Linked DNA regions of Canis lupus familiaris. The protein of the gene in region 1 interacts with the protein of each later gene in a pairwise test. Links are inferred from orthologs where the notes say so. Each region holds a gene or a part of one and is shown on either strand. Other genes may lie near its edges.

Region 1 (4,606 bases):
TGCCAACAAATGAGGCAATCTGGAAGAAGTGGTTGCATTCCTGGAAACTTATAAACTACCAAAACTGAAACGGAAAGAAATAGAAAATCTAAACAGACCCATAACCAGCAATGAAATTAAAGCAGTGATCAAAAATTTCCCAACAAACAAGAGTCCAGGGTCAGATGGCTTCCCAAGAGAATTGTACAAAACATTTAAATAAGATCTAATACCTGTTCTTCTGAAGCTCTTTTAAAAAATGAAAAGGGAAAGAAAACTTCCAAACTCATTCTATGAGTTATAGATAAATCAAAGTTTTAAGTGTATTTCTTTGCATAGTTTCTTAAGTATGCTCAAGGTATTACATTATATATATTATATATTACATTATATATATTATATTTTGTATATATACATAAACCTTATCATGCTTATTTGTGTTGACATCTTATCACTGCAGATGAAGTATAGAAACCTTACCTCTCTTCATGTCCCTTGACTCTCCTCTTGGAGATTTTGTTTTTCTGTCTGCCCCTGCTGGTATTTATGGGTTGTTGGTTTCTTCAGCTCCCAACATGGGATATATGAGGCCAAAAGAAAACCCAAGGAACTCACTTGCTTGCTGTTCCTTGAATATGATTCTAGTTGGTTTGGCTTCTTCCACCTTTCAGAATCTGCTTATATTTCTTTTATATGTAATTTCCCTGGTTTTCAGCCAGACTTAGGAAGAGGAATGAGGAAATGTACATCCATTTCATTTTTTTGGAGGTGGAGTTCTCCACTTTGCTTTTTAAATGTGTATGAATAATTATTCTTATACCCCAAATGTCCAATAACAGGCCAATAACCTTATGGTATTTTATGTAGCCACTAAAATAACAGTCACAGGACAATCTTATAGGTTTATTTGGATTGAAAATGCTTACATGACATAGTGAAAAAAGTAGTTTACTCAACTATGTGCATATGTAAATATGATTTCCATTATGTGGAAAAACCTATTATATGAAAGAAAGCTGGAAGCTCCCAAAATACTGATAACGGGTGTTTGGGGGTGGAATTGTAACTAATTTTTTCCCCTTTCATGTGCCAAATTGAGAAAAAAATGGAATCCTGTACTTTTATAATTACAAATAAGACATTTATTCTTAAATTTCCTCTTAGAAAGATACATACAACTGTCTTCCAAGATGTATGACATTTTGCATGGATTAGTTAAACTTTTGTATTTGAGGAGTTAAAAACTATTTTCAGCCTCGGTTTGTGCAAAATCAAACTATCGACATGGGTTTAGGCATCACATGGTTCTTATATCCACAGTTATAAGCCACAAAGCTATATTTACCATGCTAAAGGAATGAAACATATTTTATTTGGAGATTAGCAAGAAAGCTTTATAGACTCCTAGAATATCACTAATAAGCAGGCAGGAGAGGAAATGACAAAGCAGAAATATAATGGGGATGTTTAGAGGACAAATTTAGGGTAGAAACCCCTTCTTGACTTTTAGATTTGGATGCATCTGATTGAAGTCCCATCTCCTTTCCAGGACACTGCTGGCTTTGACTCCTCTATCCACTGCGCCGAGGGTTGAACATTCATGCACAGTAGTTTTCGACCGTGCAAATCAGATACGCTGAGCATGCCTCACAAGTGTTGCTTGATGTGCTTATTGTAGAACACGGGTTACAAGGAAGCCTGTGGAAATTTTGAAGTAAGCTTAACAAGGGAAATCCAGGTAAAATTTCAACTCAGAAAAGATCGTGCCAAAATTTGCCCTGCAAATGATGTTCTGAACACTCTTTGCAGAGTAGCATTTGACCTAAGCCTATTTCAGGCCTAGATTCAGCATTGCCACTAGGAATGCTCACTGCCCCTGTGCCAGTTGAATACACAGTTTTGTGTATTTATTTCACTTTGCAAATGTTATCTTATGCATGTTCCTGATTTCTCTTTGGTGGAAGTCAGGAACAAAGGGGGACGCCCAGCATGAAATTTTGTATGTGATACTTATTCTGCTTTAGAACTTTGGAATACTTTTGAATACTTCTACTGTCATGTGATTAGCCTCAGCTGTTTTTTTTGTTGTTGTTGTTTTGTTTTGTTTGTCTTTTTACTCTTGTAAGGAGATCATTTAACACATGAGGGAGGTTTCACCTTGGGCAGACCTTGAGGAGGCAAGATTCTCTTGCATGAGCTTCTTTGTGACTTGGGGGATTTTGAGAATAATCGTGTGGAACTTGCCTGCTGTCTTCACTCTCAAGGAGACCTCGGTATGTGTTGATCTCACCCTCCAGCAGAGCCTTTGTGTCCAGCAGCACCTCATACTCCTGGTTCTGCCGCTCCAGGTCACAGCGGATCTCAGCCAGCTGGTTCTCCACGTTATCAATCAGGCACTGCATCTGGGCCAGCTGGGTGCTATACTGGGCCTCCGTCTCTGCCACAGTGCATTCCAGAGACTCTGTCTGCAGAAGAAAAAGAGTATATTCAGAAGGGCTGTGTAGCATAGTCCTTGGGGCCAGAGTGCTGGTTTTCAAATCCTTGATCTACCCTAGTGCATCTATGTGACTTTGGGAAAATTACTTAGCTTCTCTGAGGCTGTTTTATTTTATAAAAAATGACCAATGCAAAGTACTTATTTCATAGGATGGTTGTGCGGATTGAATGAATTAATATGTGTAAAACACTGTGAACAGTGCCTGGAAAAAATTTCAAAACTGTGCAAGGGTTAGTTATTACTATCACCACTTGCCCATCACAACCTGTAATATATATTAAGGAAGATCAACAGCATTTGAGGGGAGAAGTTGAGTATGGACTTGGGGCAGGAAAGAGCCATATAGAATGGTTCAGAGAAGAGGCTCTGGGATTGAACCAGCTGGATCCAGCTTCCACTTTTGCCTCTTAACAACTGCATGAAAAAAAAAAAAAAAAAAAAAAAAACAACTGCATGACCCCTGCTACTTAATCTGAGTCTCAGTCTTCCTCATCTGATAATGGGTTTAGTAAAAGGATTTATCCCATCAAGTTATTATGAGGCGTTTAAGCCTCTCACAAGATAAATATGTAGCTATTATTCACCCAGATAGTCTCTATAGGCCCCAATGTGGCACAGACAGTGGTGTCTGACTGGAACTGGCTAATGTGATCTTCAATGCATGGTATCCTTTTTAAAAAAATTTTTTTTTAAAATAACCTCTATGCCCAGCATGGGGCTTGAACTCATGATCCTGAGATCAAGAGTCACATGCTCCTCTGACTGAGCCAGCCAGGCTCCCCAGTGCATAGTATTTTCATTGCTGGGTGAAATGGGGTGGAGTGAAGGGTCCAGTTGAGGTGTGGATCCTGGAAAAGCTTAGGGTAGTGGAAGAATGCAAAGTTTGAATATTATTCTTTTATATGATGCTGAGTTTGAGAAGTTGGCCCAAATCAAAGCACAATTAAAACCCACTGGAATGCTTCAGTGCCTTCAGCTCAGAGGTTCCACTCTCATTCTGCTCCTGCCCTCCTGTTCTTTTTCTGTCTCTGGAAGGTGCTGCAGGATCATGCTCAAGCCCAGGAGGGAAGGTCAGGGAATCCTGTTGGGACAGTACAGACTGTTGACCTATCACTTCTGCTTCTAGCTCAGTAAACAGCAGTATTTGGGTAAGTCAAAGAATACAATCCTTGCATATTGGAAATTCAGACTTTCTGCCACATGAACTGTGGATCTCTCCTTGGGTTCATGGAAGAGGGACTAGCATCTCAGGGCTTAATTCTTCAGTGACAAAAACAGAGCTGTCTTTCCCTTACATACCAGGCTTTGCTGTGCTTGGAGCTCAATTTCCAGAGCATTGGCTGTGCGTTTCAGTTCCAGGATCTCTGTCTGGCAGTCTTGCAGCTGCTCTGCGCTGCACAGCTGCTGCTGATTCAGCTCCTCTGTCTGTAAACCAGGTATGATTAGAGGATGCAAATAAGGCAGAAGTCTGGAAGCTTGTCATTTTCTTGCTCTGGGTACTGACCTGAACAGCAAACCATTCTTCCACGTCTCTACGGTTGTTGGCCAGCACGGTTTCATACTGACAACGCATCTCTTCCAGGACCCTGTTGAGGTCGATGGTGGGGGCAGTGTCCAGCTCTACACTGAGTCGGTCACCCAACTGTCCACGAAGCAAGTCAACCTCCTGAAAGAGGAAATGGAGTAAAGAAAGTCACAGAGTGGTGGGGAAGAAGAATTCACCTTGACATCCCAAGAGCATCCAATTTCTGGAGAAGTGAGTAAAAGTGTGGGATTTAGATTCAGATTGCTTAGGTTGACTCTCTTTTCATCATTCAGTCTCTGCATCCACAAAAGGTGTATAATAATTTTACCTTTCCTAGAGAGTTATTGTGAGAGATATGAGTTGATGTTCATATAAAGCACTTATGAAAGTCCTTGGCACATAGGAAGGTCTCAATAAATGCTATTATCATCAACACATGCTCAAAGGGAAAATATACCATTTTACATCATTAAGTTTTTCACTTTTTAGCTTTATCAACATGAGATAGTCATATACTTCGTATTTTATGATTTAGAAAGTTTATAGATGTAGAATATTTTAAAATATTGGTCCAAATATTGCATAAGATGTTATCCCCTTTCTGA
Region 2 (4,523 bases), on another chromosome or scaffold:
ATGTGATCCACTTCATAATTAAATTCATAAAAATCTGATCAAACAAACCTCTCTGCTTTAACCCTTTGTTTTTTAAACTCTTAGGGCCCCCCTCTGGAGGGGAAGGCACAGACGGCGGCTCCCTCCCTCCCCGGCCCGCCTCCCCCCCCCCCCCCCCCCCCCCCTCAGTCGGGTGGCTGCCGATGTACGTTTTAATTACCGGCTCTCGTTGGAAGTCTCACGTGGCCCTTGCTTTATTTATTTATTTATATCTTAATGAGGATACTGAATCCTTGATTAAAGTCGTTATCGTTGCCAATTCGGCAAGGAGGGGGAGTCGGATGTCAACGAGGCGCGGGGGGGCGGGGGTGGCGGGGAAGCTGTGTGCAGACGTCTGCACAGAGAGAGTAGCACGCAGTACAGGCCTGCGCAGACTGGCCCTTACTCAGACAGACACACAGCTAGTGAGGACCAGGGTCTGCATAGACCTCTACTCCCCCTGGGTTTGGTGGGGCTGGAGGCTGGGGACCAGGTGGTCTGTATGGCCCTGGCAGGTGCCGGGAAGCCCAGGATTTGGTCTGTCTCCAGACCTGCCCATGCCTCTGAGCCAGCCAGGGCTGTACCCCGTAGCTTGGCGAGAACCCATGTGGAGATGTGGTTCTGCTCTTTCAGCTTCTCCTGTCTGACTCCGCCTGGGAGTGCTCCCAACCACCGCTCTGTGTCTTCAGAGCTTCTTGCAGAGAGAGCGAGCCCGCAGTGAGCAGACCCCAGCATCCACTCCCCACAGAGCCTTAAAAACCCTTCAGCACCATCAGGAGAGATGAGAATTTATGTGGGGACGGGGGCCTGCGTTTGAGAGGGGGGAGGTTTGGTTAGCGGCCTGAGGAGGAGAGAGACAAGAGAGTAAAATATCATTTTAAAGAGGAAGTGAAGGCATAGGCACGCGAGTCTATAACGAGAAGGACAATTTATGCCCAGGCACGAGTGCAGTTTGACATGGGGATAATGAAAAAACGTAGGTCATTGTGGATGACTTAAGCCTTCAGCAGCCGAAGAAAATGTATGAAATGCAGAGGACATTACACGGTTGGCAGCCCCGCACATCTGCAGAGGGACAAGTGAAATACAGTGGGCCATTCTTTACCATAAACTGTGGTTGTTGGAGATGCAGCCCAGAGAAATTGTAATTACAGTGACAAGACGAATCAGCGATATTTAAATATTCATGAACAAAGTCTGGGGTGATCCATCTATCTTTATTGTCTGTGCCTTCACTCCTGTAATAAATAAGTCGCCGAAGGCCTCACCTTTCAGCCCCCAAAGCCTCCACTTTGGGTACAAAGCAAAAGATGGTGGATCCCAGCACCCCACCCTCTCACCCTCCAGGGGGCTAATGGGTGCCACACACAGAAGGGAGGCCGACGGCACCGCTTCCAGGCCTGAGCATCTGCCCTGGGTCGTCCGTGTGCTACGTACCCAGGCAACAAGGATCGACAAGTCTCCCTTCTGACCCTCAAGGTGCTTCCATCCTCAGGGTACAGTGTGCGTGGCAGGAGAGACAGGGCTGTGTGCAACTTAGCCATCTGATAAGTTATCAAGCGTTCAGACTCCAAAACCAGATCTGTATCCTGACTCAGCAGCTTATGAGCTATTTGACCTTAGAGATCAGCTAAGCATCTCATTCTTCTCGTCTATATGGTGAGAATTGTGTGTTTCTTGTCAGGTGGTTGCAGCGATTACATGATAAGATGTGTGTAAGGCTCCCAGCATGGTGGTGAGCCTTCAGCAGGTTAGACCATTCCAATTAAAAATTCCCGTAAAAATGATCCTGCTGCTAAAATAACGCAATGCTAGGTATTTCTTCTCTCTTAGGATAGAAGAAAGCGACTCAGTTTATCTTGGTGGGAGAGGTTGAAGGGAAACTTCCAAACCACGGTAATGTGTGAACTGGGTCTTGAAGGATGAGTAGGAGTTCATTGAAGCAAGGAAAGAGGAAATCAAGCAGAGGGGATAGTTGTTGTAACTGTGGAGCGAGGAGGTAGCACAAGGCATTTGGGGGACAGTGTGTTCTAGTTCCCCAAATTGGAGGGTTTTTTTTTTTGAGGGCAGGAGAGGCAGTTAGGCTACCTATGGGAAAGGAAGAGGGTGGCAGGAGAAGTTGGGGGGCAAGGTGTCAAAGCCCACGGGTCTGCCCTCCCCTTGTGGGGGTCTGCTTTCTGGGGTCAACTGTTCATCCCTGAAACAAATGGGCTTTCTCTTCCTGGGATTGGCCCTTGACCCACAGATGAACTCTAGGGCCCTGTAAAGTATGGACATGTGTGTGCATACAAGCTCCCTGGTTCACACTGGGGCCCAGAGGAGGCCACGGGTCCTTATATGTTTTTGAAGAATGGTGGTGAAGATAGGCAGTCTCATCTTCTCGGTGCATTAAATGTGCCCTGCCGCCTCTTGAAGAGGGGATGGGGGTAGGGGAGACGAGGCTCTGATCCAGCCTTTTGTCCCCACAGGCGACCACCCGTATGAGTGTGAGTTCTGTGGCAGCTGCTTCCGGGATGAGAGCACACTCAAGAGTCATAAACGCATACACACGGGCGAGAAACCCTACGAGTGCAATGGTTGTGGCAAGAAGTTCAGCCTCAAGCACCAGCTGGAGACACACTATAGGGTGCACACAGGTACGGAGGACTGGTGAGGGCACCCCAGCTTGCGCGGGGACCTGGGTATAAGTGGCAGGGGGCAGGTGGTTCTCCAGAGCAGCCTGGGTGGGCATGGTCCCAGGCTGAGACGGAGAGTGGAGCGTGTTCTGGGAAAGGTTAGCACGGCTCAGGCGCCACTGCCCCCTGCAAGGCCGAGGCACACGTTGCTAGTGGATCACAGCACACTTTCCAGGAGCCCAGACCCACCTTCCAGGCAGCCGTACCAATAGTGCATAGATGACTTCGATCTGTGAGCCCTGAATTGGGGTCAGGTTGGCCTGAAGACTAAAAGCAAACGCTGGGCAGGGCTTCTTGTTCCTGGGGGCTAGGGGAGCACTGAGTTAGGTTAGGATGAGGGCTGTGATGCTGGGAGTCAGATCGCAGACAGATATATTCACAGACCCCTCTACCTGTATGATGTTTACCATTTCAGAGGGCCTTCACATTCTTTTTTATGTAAAAGAAATAGGATGGGGGTGTGGGGTCTGAGGACAGAGCAAGGGGAAGTGGCCGTGGTGGCCAGAATTGCCAAACTGGGGGGTGGCGGATGCTGGAGCTGGCCTGCACCAGCTCATGGAAGTCCACCTGCACGTCTCTCCCTGACTCCCAAGTACAGCCACATCACCTCAGACACAGGCAAATGCTACAAAATTGAGCCTTTTTGGAGAGCTAGTTGTTAAACATTTACCAGCAGCACCCTGCTGGTTGCGGCTTTGGGGTGGGGGGGGAGGTGGATATTCAGAAGGACTTCCTATGAGGTAGTGGGAGGTAGTGGAAGGTAGTGGAATCTAGCAAAGTAGGAAGCCTCCTCTGATCATGTGAAACAGCTGTCCTGACCTGGGGACAGAGGATGGGGGGAGAGGTGACCTCAGACAGGTCCTGCTGGCCGAGGGGCGAGGATGCGTCCACAAGCCGCGGGGAGAACAGGGAAGCAGTAAGGAGAGGGAGAGGATGCTGCGTTATGGAGCTCTGCTTTCTTGCCCCCGGCCTGGGCCAGAGGAGAGCCTCAGGTGCTTGTTGCTGACAGCCAGAGTCACTCCGAGCATTTCCCAGAGCCCCAGGGCTTCCTTAGCCCCCTGCTGGGGATGTGACCTGGTGAGCGGATCATTAAATGCATCGGTGGTGACTATTGTAAATAGCGGGTCGATAGTTAGATCACTTTGGCTGTTCATTACTTCATTATTTGCTGGGGCCTCTGCACAGAGGAGTATCGATAGCGAGATGGCTGGCCAGTTAATTACTGTATCGAAACAAGGTTCCCTCACACCCTCTGCTCAGCTCCAGGGGACTCTAACTGGCAGGAGGTAGGGTGGGTAGCAGCTAGGGTGTGGCCAGGCATTCCCAGGCTATGTGTCCCTTCCCCATCCTGGCCCCCCTGGGAAGGCTCAGGGTCCAGGGGTGGCTCTGGGAACCTTAGGGGAATAGGCATCCCGGATGGAGCATGTTTGGAGGATGGGGTTCCCTCACGTTCACCCCCATCCTCCCCACCAGCTATAGCCTGAAAGGACTCTACGCCTTGTTCCCCTGAAAGGAGCTGTGCTGAAGAGCCGTCCCTAAGGGCTTTCGGGACCCCACTGCCCCATTTCTAGATTCCATATCCTTTCTTTGGAAGGGAATATTCTGGGCCTTTGGGTTCAGAAGAATAAGGCAGGGCTAAGGGGATGCTGAGCAATACTGGAGCCGCTGAGATCAGCAACAGGGAAGTGCCACGGAACATGCAGCTCCAGGTGCGCTGGCCACACTGCAGGCGCCCAGCAGCTCAGTGGCTACCATATTGGATGGCGCATTCTTCATCATGGAGAGTTCTAGAACGTGCTAAACTGGAGGGAGTCTCTGGCAAGCCTGAGG
Region 3 (4,523 bases), on another chromosome or scaffold:
ACTTATTCATCAGGAGAGGTAGCAGGGTGAAGTGGATAAGAGGATGGATTCTGAAACCTCACTACCTGAAATGGAACGCCAGCTCTGTCTCTTACTGTGGCATACCAGGCAAATTCACCTCCAAAGGCTTCCTCTGTAAAATGGGGATGAAAATCTATTGCCTGCCTCAACGAGTCATGCAGATTAAAGATGTCAATGCTTGTAAAGTACTTAGAATGGGGCCCCTAAAGAAGGAAGTCTGTATAAGGATTTGCTCTGCATATTTATCAGCAACAGTACTGATACAGACTGTGTAAGGGGAACATTCCAGGTGGAGGATGCCGAGTGGCCTGAAACTCCTCCACAATGCAGAGCACAGATGGGTTTTGAAGTCAGAGACACTGTGTGGATCAAGTCCTGGTCCTGATTCTGATTTGCTGTGTGACTTAAGGAAGTTATTTCGAGAGCCTGAACCTATTTCCTCTTCAGCAGAGTGGAGATTAGAGTACTTACCTCACAAAGTAATCAGAAGAATTAAAAGTGTGACCTGAATGAAGCACTTAGCTCAGTGCCCAGCAGCACATAGTCAGCATGCAATAAATCCTCATTGTTTACTCATGTTTCACTTAGCTATGATCACTGGGTCCCATAGGGGCTGAAATCTGGCTTCAGAAGCCTTAGTGACCTTTAGACAGAGCTTTACCCACCTTCAATATGCGGGATGGCAGAGAGGATGGGAAAAACCATCTCCTATCACTACCCATAAGTTGACTGGGGACATTTTCTATTCACTATCATTCACATCTGCACACAAATGTGCCCCGCTGTAACTCCTGAGATCTGTTACCTGAGAGAGAAGAATCCCTGTATAGTTCTCTCCTAATGAGGAGAGAATCTTGAGAATTCTCTGAAAACAAATTCGTATTGTGCACTGCTTGTTTAATATCAGCATATGTATCATCACCTTTATTTCATGCTGGGAAGACAAAATTCAAGATTAGAGAGACAGAAGCTCTTGGAGGGCAGCGGATAAAAGGCTGGGCAGGCTGCCCCAGGGGGTCAAGTGCACCAAGGCAAACGAAATACAAGCAAGCCTTTCCCAGGAGGTCCCAATTTTAGACAGAAGGGAATGGAGCCAAGGACCATGGAAGCACCACTGAGTATCTAAAACCCAAATGTTAAGCCATTAAGTGATTAAAATTTAGTCTTATTTCCCATGCTTTTTCAAACACTGCGTTCATAAAAGCATATAAATACCCTTTCAGATTTTTTTTTAGGAGCAAAAAGAAGAAAATGACATAACTCCAGTGATGTCGATGCATAGAATCGATTTTAAAACTTCCCGACACCTGTCCACTCATCGTTACTTCAGGGGAACTATCTGACCTTTGAAAAGTGATTAGAAACATTATGAATTTAGGGTGACTGGAACTTCAAAGACAGTACAAACTTCAAGGGAGCAAACTCTTTTCCTAGGGAGTCACAAATTCTTCTTCAGATGCTACTGCTTAGAAATGTTCTCTCACAGAAGAAAATGGTATTTTGTTGACATAAACATAAAAATGAGAAGCAAAAGAAGTTCCATTTATGTAGAAAGCAGAAAGGGATAAGCAAATATTTCCAAAAGATGAACTTGACAAAATTGCTTTATACAATCAGAAGCTGGATTAGAAAGGTGAGAATTTTACCTATAAAATGCAATCCAAGTGACTTTTCCTACTTCCATGGCAACCACAAATTCAGCCCTAAGTCAAAATCCACCACAGGGACTCAGTTTGGAGAATTGTTGTTGAAATAGCGACTGTGACCACTTTTTCCCCACCTCCTCTTTCTAGGCTGCTCAGCCCCTCTGTGAGAGAGGAGAGTAAAAAATGTTGTGTATCTGTGTCCCTTCTGAACTAGATTCCAATGCCTCCCAGGCCCCAACACCCAAGGAGGTAACCCAGCACATCTCAACAGCACCCATTCCAGCATGGAGGTATTCCTTGCTGCCTAGGTAAGGCTCCAATCAGGAACCAAGGAGGTAGGAGTTCCCATGGGGAACCATTCCAAATGCACCCCCAATGGCTACTAGGATAACCACAACGCCACTTTAGAAACGGGCAGAAGCAGTTCCTCAAGAATGATAGCAATGGCCCTGCCACCACAGTTTTACTGGGGTGGGAGTGGGAGTGGGAGTGTTGGCAACACAAAATGGTTCTGGGTTCTGCACCCCTTCCAGTGACCCCACCCACCACGAGGAAGCACAGAGACTATGGGCTTGGAAGCACAGGGCACTGGGACTGAAGTGTCAAAAAAAAGAACGAGATCTGCTAGTGAGAAAGAAAAGGAGGATGAGGAGGTGTGGTCACTCTACCTCTTTCTGTGCAACCCTTGCACATTTCTTTGCCCCTTCTGGCTGAAAGAAAAAAAAAAGAAAAGAAAAGAAAAGAAAAGAAAAGAAAAGAAAGAAAGAAAGAAAGAAAGAAAGAAAGAAAGAAAGAAAAAGAAAAGAAAGAAAAGGAAGGAAAGGAAAGGAAAGGAAAGGAAAGGAAAGGAAAGGAAAGGAAAGGAAAGGAAAGGAAAGGAAAGGAAAGGAAAAAAAAAAGAAAAGAAAAGAAGAAAGGCTAAAGGAAGGGGAAGGGAAGGGAAGGGGAGTGATCTCGAATCCAAGATCCAAGTAGATAGGCCAGAGTTTCCCATCAAAAGGAAAGGCTTCCGAAGCCCCTGGGCCTCAAGCATACAAAACCAGAAGGGGCTCGACCTTGTACTTCCCCCACAGGACAATCAGACCGGTGCCAGGCTCAATTTCATGCGCACCGGGGCCCTGGGATGCGCCGCCGCCGGCGGGGGAGCGCAGACTCCTTCCCCTCCTCCACCTGTGGGACTGCAGGTCCCCCAGGCGCGGCCACCCCCCACCCACCCAATCTCCCAGGGCAGGCGCTTTTCCTTCCTTCATTACCTCACTACCTCCTTCCCTTGACGTCAGCCCCGGGTCCTCGAGCGGAGGGGGGAGGATGGAGAGGAGTTTGGGGCAGTCGGTATCAGGCTCCCCGCAGCCCCGGGCTGGGGGGTCGGGGCGGAACGCGAGCTAACGCGCGCCCGACCCCCGCCTCCCGGGCCGAGGGCCGCCGCCTCCCTCCCCCGCCGCACCTTCCAGGCCCGCGCGCGCCGGCGTGTGCACCAGTTACTAGGCAACCCTATCGGAGGCGCGGGACGCCGGCCAAGTTCACCCAAAGTTGAAGAATAAATTTGGGGGAAGAGAAGGTGGAGGGTGGAGCGAGAGCCGGGAGGACGCACCAGGGACAGAAAAAAAAAAAAAAAAAAAAAAGCTTGGAAGAAAAAGAAGCCGGTCTCCCGCCTCCCCGGAGCGGGGAGGAGGGCGGGCGCGGGCGGGAGGGCGGGCGCGGGGTCCCCGGGGGCCACTGCCGCGTCCCGGCTGCAGTCGGCACACGGTCGGGGTCGGGTCCCCGCGCGGAGCCGGGCGCTGGCAACCACGCCCGCCGCGCGCCGCCGCCGCCACGGCCCCGGGACCGCAGGGCCGCGCCGAAGGCTGCGGTCCGGGTGTCCGCGCCCTCGCAGGACTCCGGGAGAAGGAGACGGCCGGCCGGAGTGGCAGTGGGCGCGGGGGCGGGGGGTGAGCAGTGGGAAGAACGGAGTGGGAGTGGACTCCGCGTTTCATCTCTGGTCCCGAGGAAGTTAAAGCCCTCCCATAAGGAGCCTTAAAAAAAAAAAAAAAAAAAACTTCTCGAAGCGCCACTCTTTTAGCTCAAATAGTAACCGCCGTCATTTATACTCAAAACAAGAACCACCAGCAGAGGAGGAAACCTACCTCTTCCGCAGCAGAGCCAGGAGGTCTGCTTAAATTTGCCTTAAGTAGCTAAAGGCGTCCTCTGCGTCCGGGATGGTGCACGCCCGAGGTCCAGGGTGCCCGCGTCGGACGTCACCGCTCCCGGGGTTCGCGCGCACCCCCCGCCCCGGGTCCCGGCGACCCAGACACCCGGCCGAGCGCCCTCCTACCTGCTGTAGGGCGTCCTCAGCAGCAGGGCCTGGCTGCCGGTGCAGCTGTCGGTAGGGGTGTGGCAGCCGTAGACGGGGGGCGGCACGGAGTACTGCTGCTCGCCTGCAGAGAACCCGAGAGCTGCGTGAGCGCGCCCCAAGGGATCGGGGTGCCAGTGCGGGTGGGGGTGCGAGGACGCGCGGGCAGGGTCTGGGACAGCCGGGCTCGGAGACTAAGCGGCGGGGTTGGGGGGCTGGATGCTGGGGCGTGCCGAGAGAGTGGGCGTCCGGATCGATTGATCATAGGGTGCTAATGAGCTTCTCACTTCACATTCCCTAGGCGGTCGCTTCCTAGTACACCGAAAAGACCATCGAGACCGACGCAGACTTGCTTGAGTAGAGCTGTCCCTAACATTCTTGGGGGTGGGGGCAAAACTCAGTCCTTTCTTTAAAACTGAGTGGGACTGGGCTGATGATTAAAACTCCCTTCTCTCGCAATTTGCTGTGGTTTGGCAATTCCGGGAATTGGGGGGGGGGGGATGGCGGAAGAAGGGCAGAAGGACCCC

What was found.
Region 2: the proteins of KRT40 (region 1) and ZBTB16 interact in binary tests that used the Homo sapiens proteins (3 or more experiments, as listed by UniProt). The two-hybrid records come from large-scale screens. The link is inferred for Canis lupus familiaris from reciprocal best matches to the Homo sapiens genes KRT40 and ZBTB16.
Region 3: the proteins of KRT40 (region 1) and WT1 interact in binary tests that used the Homo sapiens proteins (3 or more experiments, as listed by UniProt). The two-hybrid records come from large-scale screens. The link is inferred for Canis lupus familiaris from reciprocal best matches to the Homo sapiens genes KRT40 and WT1.

Annotation. Positions count from the first base shown.
Region 1 is NC_049230.1:21,662,406-21,667,011, reverse strand, and holds the end of KRT40 (keratin, type I cytoskeletal 40), read right to left. Parts: intron 4,233-4,606; exon of another isoform or gene 4,143-4,232; coding exon 3,981-4,142; intron 3,913-3,980; exon of another isoform or gene 3,902-3,912; coding exon 3,776-3,901; intron 3,625-3,775; exon of another isoform or gene 3,512-3,624; intron 2,445-3,511; coding exon 2,224-2,444; exon of another isoform or gene 2,106-2,223; intron 1,718-2,105; exon of another isoform or gene 1,678-1,717; coding exon 1,578-1,677; 3' UTR 1,099-1,577; downstream 1-1,098. UniProt on the Homo sapiens protein: May play a role in late hair differentiation.
Region 2 is NC_049226.1:19,122,916-19,127,438, reverse strand, and holds part of ZBTB16 (zinc finger and BTB domain-containing protein 16), read left to right. Parts: intron 1-2,486; coding exon 2,487-2,654; intron 2,655-4,523. UniProt on the Homo sapiens protein: Acts as a transcriptional repressor. Transcriptional repression may be mediated through recruitment of histone deacetylases to target promoters. May play a role in myeloid maturation and in the development and/or maintenance of other differentiated tissues.
Region 3 is NC_049239.1:35,503,756-35,508,278, reverse strand, and holds part of WT1 (Wilms tumor protein), read right to left. Parts: intron 4,082-4,523; coding exon 3,979-4,081; intron 3,051-3,978; exon of another isoform or gene 2,921-3,050; intron 1-2,920. UniProt on the Homo sapiens protein: Transcription factor that plays an important role in cellular development and cell survival. Recognizes and binds to the DNA sequence 5'-GCG(T/G)GGGCG-3'. Regulates the expression of numerous target genes, including EPO.